Styela clava: one gene and its partners. The main gene of each other region encodes a partner of the protein of the gene in region 2 in a complex. Links are inferred from orthologs where the notes say so. Each region holds a gene or a part of one and is shown on either strand. Other genes may lie near its edges.

Evidence for each region.
Region 1: centrosomal protein of 290 kDa-like (region 2) and B9 domain-containing protein 2-like share a complex: the UniProt entries of both Homo sapiens proteins name them as parts of the tectonic-like complex. The link is inferred for Styela clava from reciprocal best matches to the Homo sapiens genes CEP290 and B9D2.
Region 3: centrosomal protein of 290 kDa-like (region 2) and transmembrane protein 107-like share a complex: the UniProt entries of both Homo sapiens proteins name them as parts of the tectonic-like complex. The link is inferred for Styela clava from reciprocal best matches to the Homo sapiens genes CEP290 and TMEM107.

What each region holds. Positions count from the first base shown.
Region 1 is NC_135258.1:12,602,740-12,605,662, reverse strand, and holds B9 domain-containing protein 2-like, read left to right. Parts: upstream 1-1,039; 5' UTR 1,040-1,081; coding exon 1,082-1,609; 3' UTR 1,610-2,312; downstream 2,313-2,923. Other genes in the region: tRNA-splicing endonuclease subunit Sen54-like, read right to left, coding at 2,726-2,923. UniProt on the Homo sapiens protein: Component of the tectonic-like complex, a complex localized at the transition zone of primary cilia and acting as a barrier that prevents diffusion of transmembrane proteins between the cilia and plasma membranes.
Region 2 is NC_135257.1:13,835,762-13,839,525, forward strand, and holds the start of centrosomal protein of 290 kDa-like, read right to left. Parts: upstream 2,733-3,764; 5' UTR 2,679-2,732; coding exon 2,502-2,678; intron 2,096-2,501; coding exon 1,991-2,095; intron 827-1,990; coding exon 620-826; intron 543-619; coding exon 387-542; intron 1-386. UniProt on the Homo sapiens protein: Involved in early and late steps in cilia formation. Its association with CCP110 is required for inhibition of primary cilia formation by CCP110.
Region 3 is NC_135256.1:19,257,454-19,261,217, reverse strand, and holds transmembrane protein 107-like, read left to right. Parts: upstream 1-1,335; 5' UTR 1,336-1,392; coding exon 1,393-1,479; intron 1,480-1,793; coding exon 1,794-1,962; intron 1,963-2,192; coding exon 2,193-2,289; intron 2,290-2,804; coding exon 2,805-2,871; 3' UTR 2,872-3,195; downstream 3,196-3,764. UniProt on the Homo sapiens protein: Plays a role in cilia formation and embryonic patterning. Requires for normal Sonic hedgehog (Shh) signaling in the neural tube and acts in combination with GLI2 and GLI3 to pattern ventral and intermediate neuronal cell types.

The DNA of each region.
Region 1 (2,923 bases), on a different chromosome or scaffold from region 2:
AGCAAAATTCCAAAAATATATTAAAAAATAAACTTCAACCTTTGTAACCAAAGGGTTTAAGTGGTACCGCTTGATTTAAAATTAATGCATCAATGCTCCAGGATACGCGGTTTATTTGTTGTTCTGCGATTCTGGATACGGTTTCTTTAGTTAAAATATTTATTCTAAATTCCGGTGTTTCATATATATAATCTTGTTTTATTAAAATATTTATTCTAAATTCCGGTGTTTCATATATATAATCTTGTTTTATTACATTGAGAATTACCTGTATGGCTGGATATAAATGTGATCAATGAATAACGGTTGAAGTACTGAAATGAATGTTTGTATGCTAATGCTGTAGGTACCGCTACATAGTTATTTATTTTTGTTCCTATATAAGTATGTTTTGATTTTCCCGAAAAAAAATCATACACAAAACACAAGAATGAACACACAGAAGATTGCGAAAATTTGGGAAACTTGCAAAACTTTTATAAAGGTACAATACATGTAAATAAACATGCGCATTAATAAAGAATAATTGTCATAGCTGCCAATGGGAAATTGAATGTATGTTCAGTCCAGGTACCGCACCCTAGTAGTGTATTGACCGGCTTCAGTTTACTATAGACTGAATAAGTGAAATATTTTTTGAATAATAAATACCATTAAAAGAATTAATACCATTATCTAGCAATGTATTTCATCTGTCATGTTGTGTCATACCAGAACCTCTCTATCCAGTTATTCATAGATGTTTAACGATTTGGTCATGTTCGATAGCAAACAATGTTTTAACATTAAGTTAATACTGTGCAAAAACTCCATATCGAATTCCCATTTTTATTGTTCCAGTATCGAACGACTTTGATATAGCTAGGCTATACTTGGTTTGTCAATTGGGTACTCCTGAAGTATGTGCACCAAGATGTCGCATAACCTGAACCTGGTTACCAACCCGAGTTCAGGTTGTGCGCCATCTTGGTGAGCATACTTCGGGAAGTCCGTCAATTGTTCCATACTATTATATTAATTTGTTTTTTTACTTTGCCTTTAAGATTTATCATAAATATGTTGAACCATTTATAAACAAACCATGGCTGAAGTCCATATTATTGGTCAGTTAACTGGGGCGAGTGAATTTCCAGATCATAGACTTTTCTGCAAATGGGGAATTCACGCAGGAGGTGCCTGGAAGTTGATAGCAGGTTCAAAAGATGGACAAACTCAAGTAGACAATCCACAAAATGAAGAGTTCGCTGCATTTTGTCATCCAATAGACTTGCATTACGCAACTAAAGGACTTCAGGGCTGGCCACGTCTACATGTGCAGATTTGGCACCATGATGCATTTGGGAGAAACGAACTATACGCTTATGGATTTGTTCACATTCCGTCGTCTCCAGGACCACATGAAGTTGAGTGCATGACATGGAAACCCAATGGAACATTTAAAGAAGAATTGATGCAATACTTTGTTGGCGGATGCCCACAATTGAAAAATCCAGAATTAATATACAGTGGTGCAGACAGGTATAAATTGCATACAACTGCTATGGGAAAGGTTCATGCACAATTGAATGTAATACTGAGAAATTTTGACAAATTTGGCATTGAAAGTTAGTCATATGTAGCGTTTTCAAGATATTTTTGTGACATATTATTGTTTCTGAACCAATACTCATACTGTGAGAAGTGTAAGGTGGTATTGAAAGAAGATGTTGAATTAGTGGTATTCTATTGAATGATTTCTTTAACATATCTGAGAATAATGTAGAAAATCAACATTCATATTTCTGCGATATTACATCCCCCAATTCATTTTGAAATATTTTTGAATTTCTATTTTGAATAGTAGAAAATGGTTCGGTTTGACCATTAATAGATATATTCATGATGGCACTTTTCGCAATAATGTTTAATCTTCAAATTATCCATTATAAATTGATAATAAGAGCGGAGGATTTATATAATTTTGAGCAAGGTTGCAAATGTGGATTTCATGTTTTCAATGTTTATACTGTTGTAGTAAATATATATCTGTTAAAATTGTATATTAATAAATATGACTTACTGTATATTGTAGGAAATGTTTCAGCTGGTGAGCGACTTATCTATATCAATTATGATATTTTTCATTAGCATTCTTATACCAATAAAAGTTACATTATTGATGGAAAGGGCCTGCGATTACTGATGCTCCTCAAAACAGTTTTGAAATATATAAACTACATATCATAAAAACACACTTCATTAGCAAGTGGACGTTGACTCAAATATATTCCTTTGAAATGAACCATGGCAAATTTTCTGATTTGTCAGATATAATCAGATTTTGAAACGTCTCTAATAATACACAATGAAAACTGTAGCTCGATGACACTTGGAACAATGATTTGCCTGATATGATATTTGACTTAACGGAACATGCGAAAATGTAAGGTTAACTAATCCTATTCAGCATTGGAACTAAAGCACATACACTGTATTGTAAAATATATTTTGTTTTGTTGATATACAATGCAGAAAATTTCATGAAACATGAATAATTTCAGTACAGCCTCAACAAATTTGAAGAAATATTTCCAAGCAGTTAGTTGTCGAAGAGAAACACGGGATAATGTTCATCATCACCTTGCAACTTCTATCAAATATCAGACTCATTTATTTATGAAAATAATATTTATTGCCAATCTTGAAAATCATGTCTGATTTTAGAGCATGAGAGATTAAAACACTATCACGGATCATTAATTATAGTGGGAACACCACCTTCATCAATGGAAAAAAATGATATTTGTCCATAATCAACAACTCCATATTTGACTGGGACACTATTTGATTGTCTATTAATAGTAATATTAGTCAGTGTATCAAGAAATTCGTCCTGAATTGTTGTTACAACTATCCTACAAAATGGTGTACCAGGATTCGTTTT
Region 2 (3,764 bases):
GTGAGTTTAAGGTAATATATGGCTCGTTCTGTACATTATATTAGAGTACAATTAATACAGGAGAAGTTCGCTATTTATTTTGGCCAACGATTCGCTATTCTCATTGATTTTTTCAACAAAAATTTATAATCGTAAAATTTCAGCAGGCACAACTGGGCCAGATGAAACACTTCGGTGGGCCAAATCAGGCCCACGGGCCGTAATTTACCCACTTCTGTGTTAAAAAATTGATTCAAATAACATTTAGAAAAAATGAGATAAAAATATAGACAGAAATGAACTTATTCACATAGCCTTAAAATTTATCTCACATAACTTTAGTTGGCTTGGAATTTAATTAGATAGCATATTTCTACCACAATTCCTGAATAAAGAAAAATACAAACCGTTATTTGATCGAGTAAATCTGTTATTTGATTGTTTTTCTCAGTGAGTTTGTCTTTCATTTCTGAATCAATATGACCTTTGACACCCAAACGTTCACGATGTTGCTTCTCCATAATATCACGGAAGTCGCGAAGATCACTTTTCAATTCTTGATTCTAAAAAGCATGAAATATTTTAGCCGAAAAATATGGCATTATGATGTAAAATTAACGTTTTCATTTTAAAAACGTACCTCCAGTTTTAGATCTTTAACTTGTTGTTTCATTTCGTTGTTCTCTCGCTCAAAAGTATATCTATCTCTCGACATTTCTTCAAGTTCAATTCTAAGTTCCCTTTCTTGTTCTTTGTATCCTTCTACCAATTCAGCAAGATTCCTATTTTCCGCACGAATGTATTCCGTGTCGCCGCGGAGGCCACCAGCACCTCCCGATCCAAATCTCTGCAAAAACCAAGAAACGTCAATGTCTGTCATAAATGTAATTTTCGAATTTAAGAATTACCATATGTCTATACTAGTCATAAAATTATAAGTATGGAAAAAAATGTTATCAAACTTTTGGAGGAAGCACAAGCGCAGGTTGAAGTTCCAGTTCTCAAATGAATATACATTTATTGATCATTTCAAATTCCAGTTGAAAAATCAATAATATTACTTATCTCTGCATTGCTCCAAAAAAATCTAGTTTTACTCATACACCAAGTCATGATACTGTTTCAAAATAAAGATCTCCTAGTTCCAAAACCTACATATAGCATTATATATGTTACCCTCTGATGAGATATAAAGCTATTTTGAAATCATCAGCTATTCAACCATTCAATAATAACTGAGCAATTTATTTTAAAACATAAAATGACATTCTAAACTAAATGTTCTCGATAGAAAAATTTAGCAAAGATCTGGTCAGTGGTTCATGAATATTTGATTCTTTACTAATACTTCACATAAAAGTTCTAAGATAAATATTCTTTTATACTGGAATTAAATGAGAAAAAAGAGTAATCTCATAATTAATGTGAAATAAATAAAAACTTAATGTTATGTATCATCAGTTTAAATACATTCTATAGTTTTGAATAGAAACCAACTTAATCTGGTTCAAAAATGAAAGAATGCTATTTGTTAGTAGAGCATGAGACGGATACCAAAGTATTTTGAAAACTAGAAGAGACTTCGTGGAAAGTGAACAATATTAACTACAGAATTGAAGTAGTATAGAGCACAATTAGACTGAATATATAACAGATATATAGAAAATCGGAAATGGAGCAGATAGCGTATCAACTTAGAAAAAGGTTATCACAGTAATAATAATAGATTGGTATTTTGAAAGTGAGATGTTTTGGAAATGAACACTATATTATTTATTGTAAACATTGACACAATTGACAATTGAAAATGTCTTACAGTAAAAAGACTCTTTTTTATATTTTGCATTTGTTGTTCTTGTTGTATCAATCTCAAAATAGTGCCAATTCAAATTTATGTGATTAAGCATTAAAATATTAACAAAGAAAATAATATTGCTACATTCATAATGAGCAAATTGCTAAACCATATAAATTTTTAAGTCTCATTCCCAATTATTCGACAAAATCTTACTCGTTCATCCTCTAGCCTTCTTTTTAATTCTTCAATCTGTGAATCTTTATCATTAACAGATTTTACTTGTTCATCGAGTAAAGCTTCATATTCTTGCTCTCGATGCTGTAGATGGTATGACATTTTAAAGTTTTAAGTTAGCTGGATTTGTCGCAGTGAGTTACAGAAGAGAAAAATCATGATATGATGGAAATAACACTTTGGTGAATAACTTTTCCATAAATACCAGAAAAAGACTTTTATTATAGGCAGTTCAAGTTTACATATGATAAAAATCACTGGCATAGAACTGGGAACTCATTAATCATTATGAGGAAAAAAAAATTCGGGTTTGATTTTACAGATTTTTTTTTTCAATGATAGAAGTTTTCCATTCAAACAAAAACACTTTTTAACTTTAAATTGATGTATGAAATAGGTTTTATACCTTGAAAAACTGTATTTGAAACTTTATAGGTCACCCTTATACCCACAAAACTACATGAGGCTTTCATTATAATTTAGTACTTACATCAAGAATATTCAAAGCAGATTTGAAAAGCATGATCAACTTGTCTGGTTCATTTTTAAAATCTGCATCTTTAACTGTACGAAGATCTTCAACCACCCTGTCAATTGTCTCGTCATCCACTGTAGAACTACCTTGAGCCACTGTGCCAACAGTGGCCCAATCAATATTGGGAGCCATAATAAAAATGGCAAAATGTCTTTGTAGTCAATTTCTATAAGATCATTTCGAACCCTGAAAATAATGGGGAAAAACAAATGATATGTAACTTCAAAAGTATGTAATTGAGTAAAATAGAAGTAAAAGCTACTAGTATGTGTGTTCTTAGGAGGTTGGAAGAACCTGTTGCAACTAACGGAATTATGTGTTGACTTATACCAGTACACAGTTCAGGATTTACTGAGTTTCTACAAAATCTAAGTACATTGGGTCTATTATAGTACCATAAGTACTTCTAGTGCACGTAGCAGAGGCAATTCTGCAATTGATAGCTCTTTCTTTGCGTATATAAAAAGTTTGACACAAGTGGCAATAATAGGATAATCGTAGTTCCTATTATCGCCACATCAACATTTCTGCTATATTTTTGAGATATCGCTATAGCAAATTCTTTTTGGGGATCACTGCTGTTGGCTTTTTTTCTCGATCGGTAGCCAATGTTCCGAGAAAATATAAAAGAAATGTTACGTAAAGTATTATAGATTTTAGATGGATCGGAATAAAAAGCGGAGATAATAGGGTAACTTACGTTACCGGTAAGGTACTACTAAAGTTACCTAAGCAAATTACATTTTGTTTATGCACATTCAGACATTGGTTCAGTAGGATAGGATAGGATTTTACATATTTATCCCGGGGGAGAGGAAAGCCGATAAGACGGCTTATCCATATGGCGAACCACGGCCTCTCGTCCGGTTACCATTCCAAGTCGGGTATGGGATTAGTTTTACTGTATTGTTTGTTTTCGGAAGCATGGACTTGGTGGTGGAGGAAGCCGTAACCGACCAGCGGTTACGTGAACCACCCAACGATGGCGAGGAGTCCAGCAATCCTCTCGCACATAACCATCTCTGCATGGGATTCGAACCTGCGAACCCATGCAGAGTAATTAGAGGTGCGGTGGCGAGCGTATTCCTAACGCTTAGCCCGTTGAGCCACACCGCCAAATGGGTACAGCAACTGCAATCTTTCAAGCCCTTTAAACTTTATTCTAAAATATGACGCGGCGTATTACTGTATTAGTCTGCTTTTGTTTCTGCAGCTGTG
Region 3 (3,764 bases), on a different chromosome or scaffold from region 2:
TCCCCTTCAGGGTTTATTAATTTTTTTTCGAAGTTTGTTTAAAAATAATTTTTTTAGCAATTGAAATAAACATGATTTTTTTTACGAGGATCAAGTTTTATATGAATATTGACTAAAGCAATCAGGTTAATCATATGTGCGATGGCAAGCGTATTCTTAACGTATAGCACGATGCGCCACACCGCCGATTCGAATATTGTTCTCTGCAAACACCGTTTCACAGGTAAATATTTAATAGATACCCACTCAATGAAATTTATATATATATTGACGGTAATTTCAATACCGGCGCTCTTCGGTGATCCGATAAAGTAGTACAGTGGTACAGACATCTCTCATCAGAAGTTTAGCGATCATATCGTAGTAGTATATATTTACGATCATATGCAGCGACGGGGTTGGTTACGCATTAAATCGAGCGGTTGATCGTGCTCATGAGAGTTAACACTATCATCTGATAGCCTACGTTTCAAATGAGCTAGACTAGACTATACCGATACCGTACAGATATACCGGTACGGTACCTAGTCTATGCGCGATTTAAGTTTAACCGGGGCATAAGCAAAGACGTCAGAATGCTATTACCGGTATCGAACTGTATCACTGTCCTAGATCTCAAGAGTTATCGGTACCGGTTAGCCTATGGTGCATAACTAAAACTTACCGTACTACAGTTACGATACATTGACTATTCACAGATTTAATCTCATTTTGTAGCCTATCTCCCGTCTTACTGCAATATTATGGTGCCAGTACAACTGTCAGACTCATCCAGCAAATGCTAGAATGTGTGTTGCCCATCGGGGAATTCAAAATAAACTTATATAGGCCTACTGTATATAACACAGTAATAGAAGACTATTGATGGAAATATAGTTACTGGTATAGTTACTTTCCATTACTGGTATCCCATATTTAGTAGACTATTTTCATGATTTTGGTGCCGGTATTCTAGTACCATATTCAGACAGTATTGCAAATAAGTTAGGTAATTGGGTTGGCTCACCTCATTCATTAGAATACTTGTGTAAATACCTTGTCCGGTTATGACAAGGCTCATCCCTTGCTATCGTAGTGTGGTTCAGTAAGTTTGTATCATCTGTTTGGTTATGGCTTCCTCTACCCTGCCACCATCAAGTTCATGAACTGAAAGAAACACTCTAGTTATGTATTCCTATACTTGATGAACTGATAATTGGACAAGAGGCAGTAGTTTTCAACATGATTAGGCAAACGTTTTGCTCTCCCCAAGGATAAATATGTTCCCAATATATACACCTATAACTGTCTTTGCTGTACCACAGATTTATTATGGAATATTTTCTGTTTTCACAGGGGTAAGCCTATCTACCGTCACCTGTAAATTGATTCAATCCGCCGCATATTAAAATTATGAGAGCTGTAAGTGGTTTGGTACCAACTAGATTCTTGGTTCTCATAGCACATCTGGTGATTGTCATATCAATATTCTGGTCAAGGGTGAGTATTTTTTCATTATCATATTGTATATAAAATACAATTGCTATTTTATGACAAACGTAGCAACTAAAGTGTATTTCAGAGCACCATGCACCAGAACTCTTAGCACAGTTTTTTGGGACCATCATGTTTACATGTATAGCTTTAAACACCAGAAATTACTACCGTAATTGTTGATTTAAATATTTCTTTTATCAGAAAACCTCAAATTAAATGTGTATTAGTTTTTTGACCTATTTAATTAATAGTGCGTGCCTTTGGTTATATTCTATTCTAGTTTTGAGTAAATCATGAAGTGTTCAATATTACTACAGGATCTGAATGTGAAAGCATGTCTTCCAATTAACTACACTGCTGCAGAATATTCATCCAGAGACACTGAACTTATTATTGGCCTTTCAATAACACTAGCATTCTTTTTGGTTGAATTTGGAGGGTTTATTGGTGGAGTTTCAATGTTCAGTCACACGCAGTCTCTATTTTGTATCCTTTTTAACAAATAGTTTATTTAATTCTATAAAAAAAGATTTTGAATTGCAATAAATGGAAATAGTGTTTAATTTATATCTTCAATGTAAGATTATTGGGGAATAAGACGTTAACAAATTTTTTTATGAAGGCAGGTTGAACTCAAGTGGGATTCAGCAAAATTTGTATTTAGTAATTGAGATTTCACATTGTTTACCTCAACTTCCTTATACTGAACTATTCAGCTATTGCGGCTCATGCAGGGGCCAGTGTCACTCTCGCCTTTTTCGTTTTTGATTCTTGGAGCTGCTCTTTATATTGGTGGATTTTTGCATTCTGTAGGTTAGTAATTATCAACAAAACTTTTATTCTCATATACTTTTCATCAGACCAAGCCACAGAATATTTTAAAATAATGGTGCATCATATGACCAATATATTTTCCACTCTTGTATACTCCAAGGCCCTAAGTCATTTCACTGTCGATCTTCTTGTTTTTCTTGATTTTCGAGACTTCTTGATATGTGACTAATTCTAAGTTCTGTTGAATACAGTTTGTAAGTTTAAAAAGACCTGTTGGAGGTTTTGAATGTATATGAAATGTAAAAAATTCCAGTTATTATAAGTAGCATCATTGTAACAAAATGCCCAACAACATTGTTGTGAGAGAATCTCTACGTTTAAGTCTCTTATAACAATATTTGTTTGAAAATATGATTGTTTTTTTCCGTCTTTTTAATTCTCCTGAATTTACCAAAATTGAGAGAAACAAGCTTATGGTAGCCACTGAGTTTTATTATAATTTTATTCAGTGACAAAATCCATTTCCATTGCTCTGTCAATTTTTTTTTTTACAGTGCCCTTCCAGCAATTACTGAGACTATTGTTATCATCGGTGTTTTAGCATTGAAGAAAAACTTATAGTCAATGGCAAAGTTTTTTTTCAGCGTCTGATCAAATGCTTCCACTCCATGCTGGTCACAAAGAATCTGTTGAATTGAAAGTCCTAAATCATGATCAAATAGTGATCCAGGGCTCAGTCACATATCACAGTTTTGCCTTAAAACTTTTTTAAAATTGTGAATTTCATTCTTGGCATTAGTTTTGTAAATATTAAATGTTAGCACGTTTTAAACAAACTTTCTATTTTAACTGCTTCATATATGAATCAAAAAGTTTGAAATTATTTTTACTTGGTGTTTCGCTAAAGGACCCTATTTTTATATAAATATATTTTATTACTGCTGAGTTCTGAAAATTCTTCCACATTGTCTATCTATCGTGGTCGCGTTTTGTATAAGAGTATTTGCGTATAACGTAAATAAACGTTCGTAATTGGTTTTGTGCGGGACTGGAGAACCGATCGGGTCTAAACTAAGGCTTGTGCAGAAAAAGTTATCATAGGGTTATTTTTAGTCACTCCCAAATTTCGAAAGAAAAAAGACTAATTGCTAGAAAACGAAAGCGAGTCAAATGTTGTTTCACCGTTGACATTAGTTCTAATTTCGAGCGTTTCCCAACCTTTTTTGGTCGCGGACTATTTTTTCACCGGCGAAAACCTTTGCGGACCCAACGTGCGTTTATTGCAACCGCACTTACTCTGTGTGAAGAAATAATAAAACCAAACACAACAGAATTTTAAAATCGAAAATTCGCCGCAATTAAGCGTTTGTTAAACGAGCCGACTTTTTTAGTGTATAAATGGCCTTTTCTGTCGCACAATATTCAATCCATGACGACGAGTTTTTTGCAGATAAACTAATTATAGAGTTGTTATACATGAGAATGAAGGCCAAGTAAAAGTGAAATGGATGTAT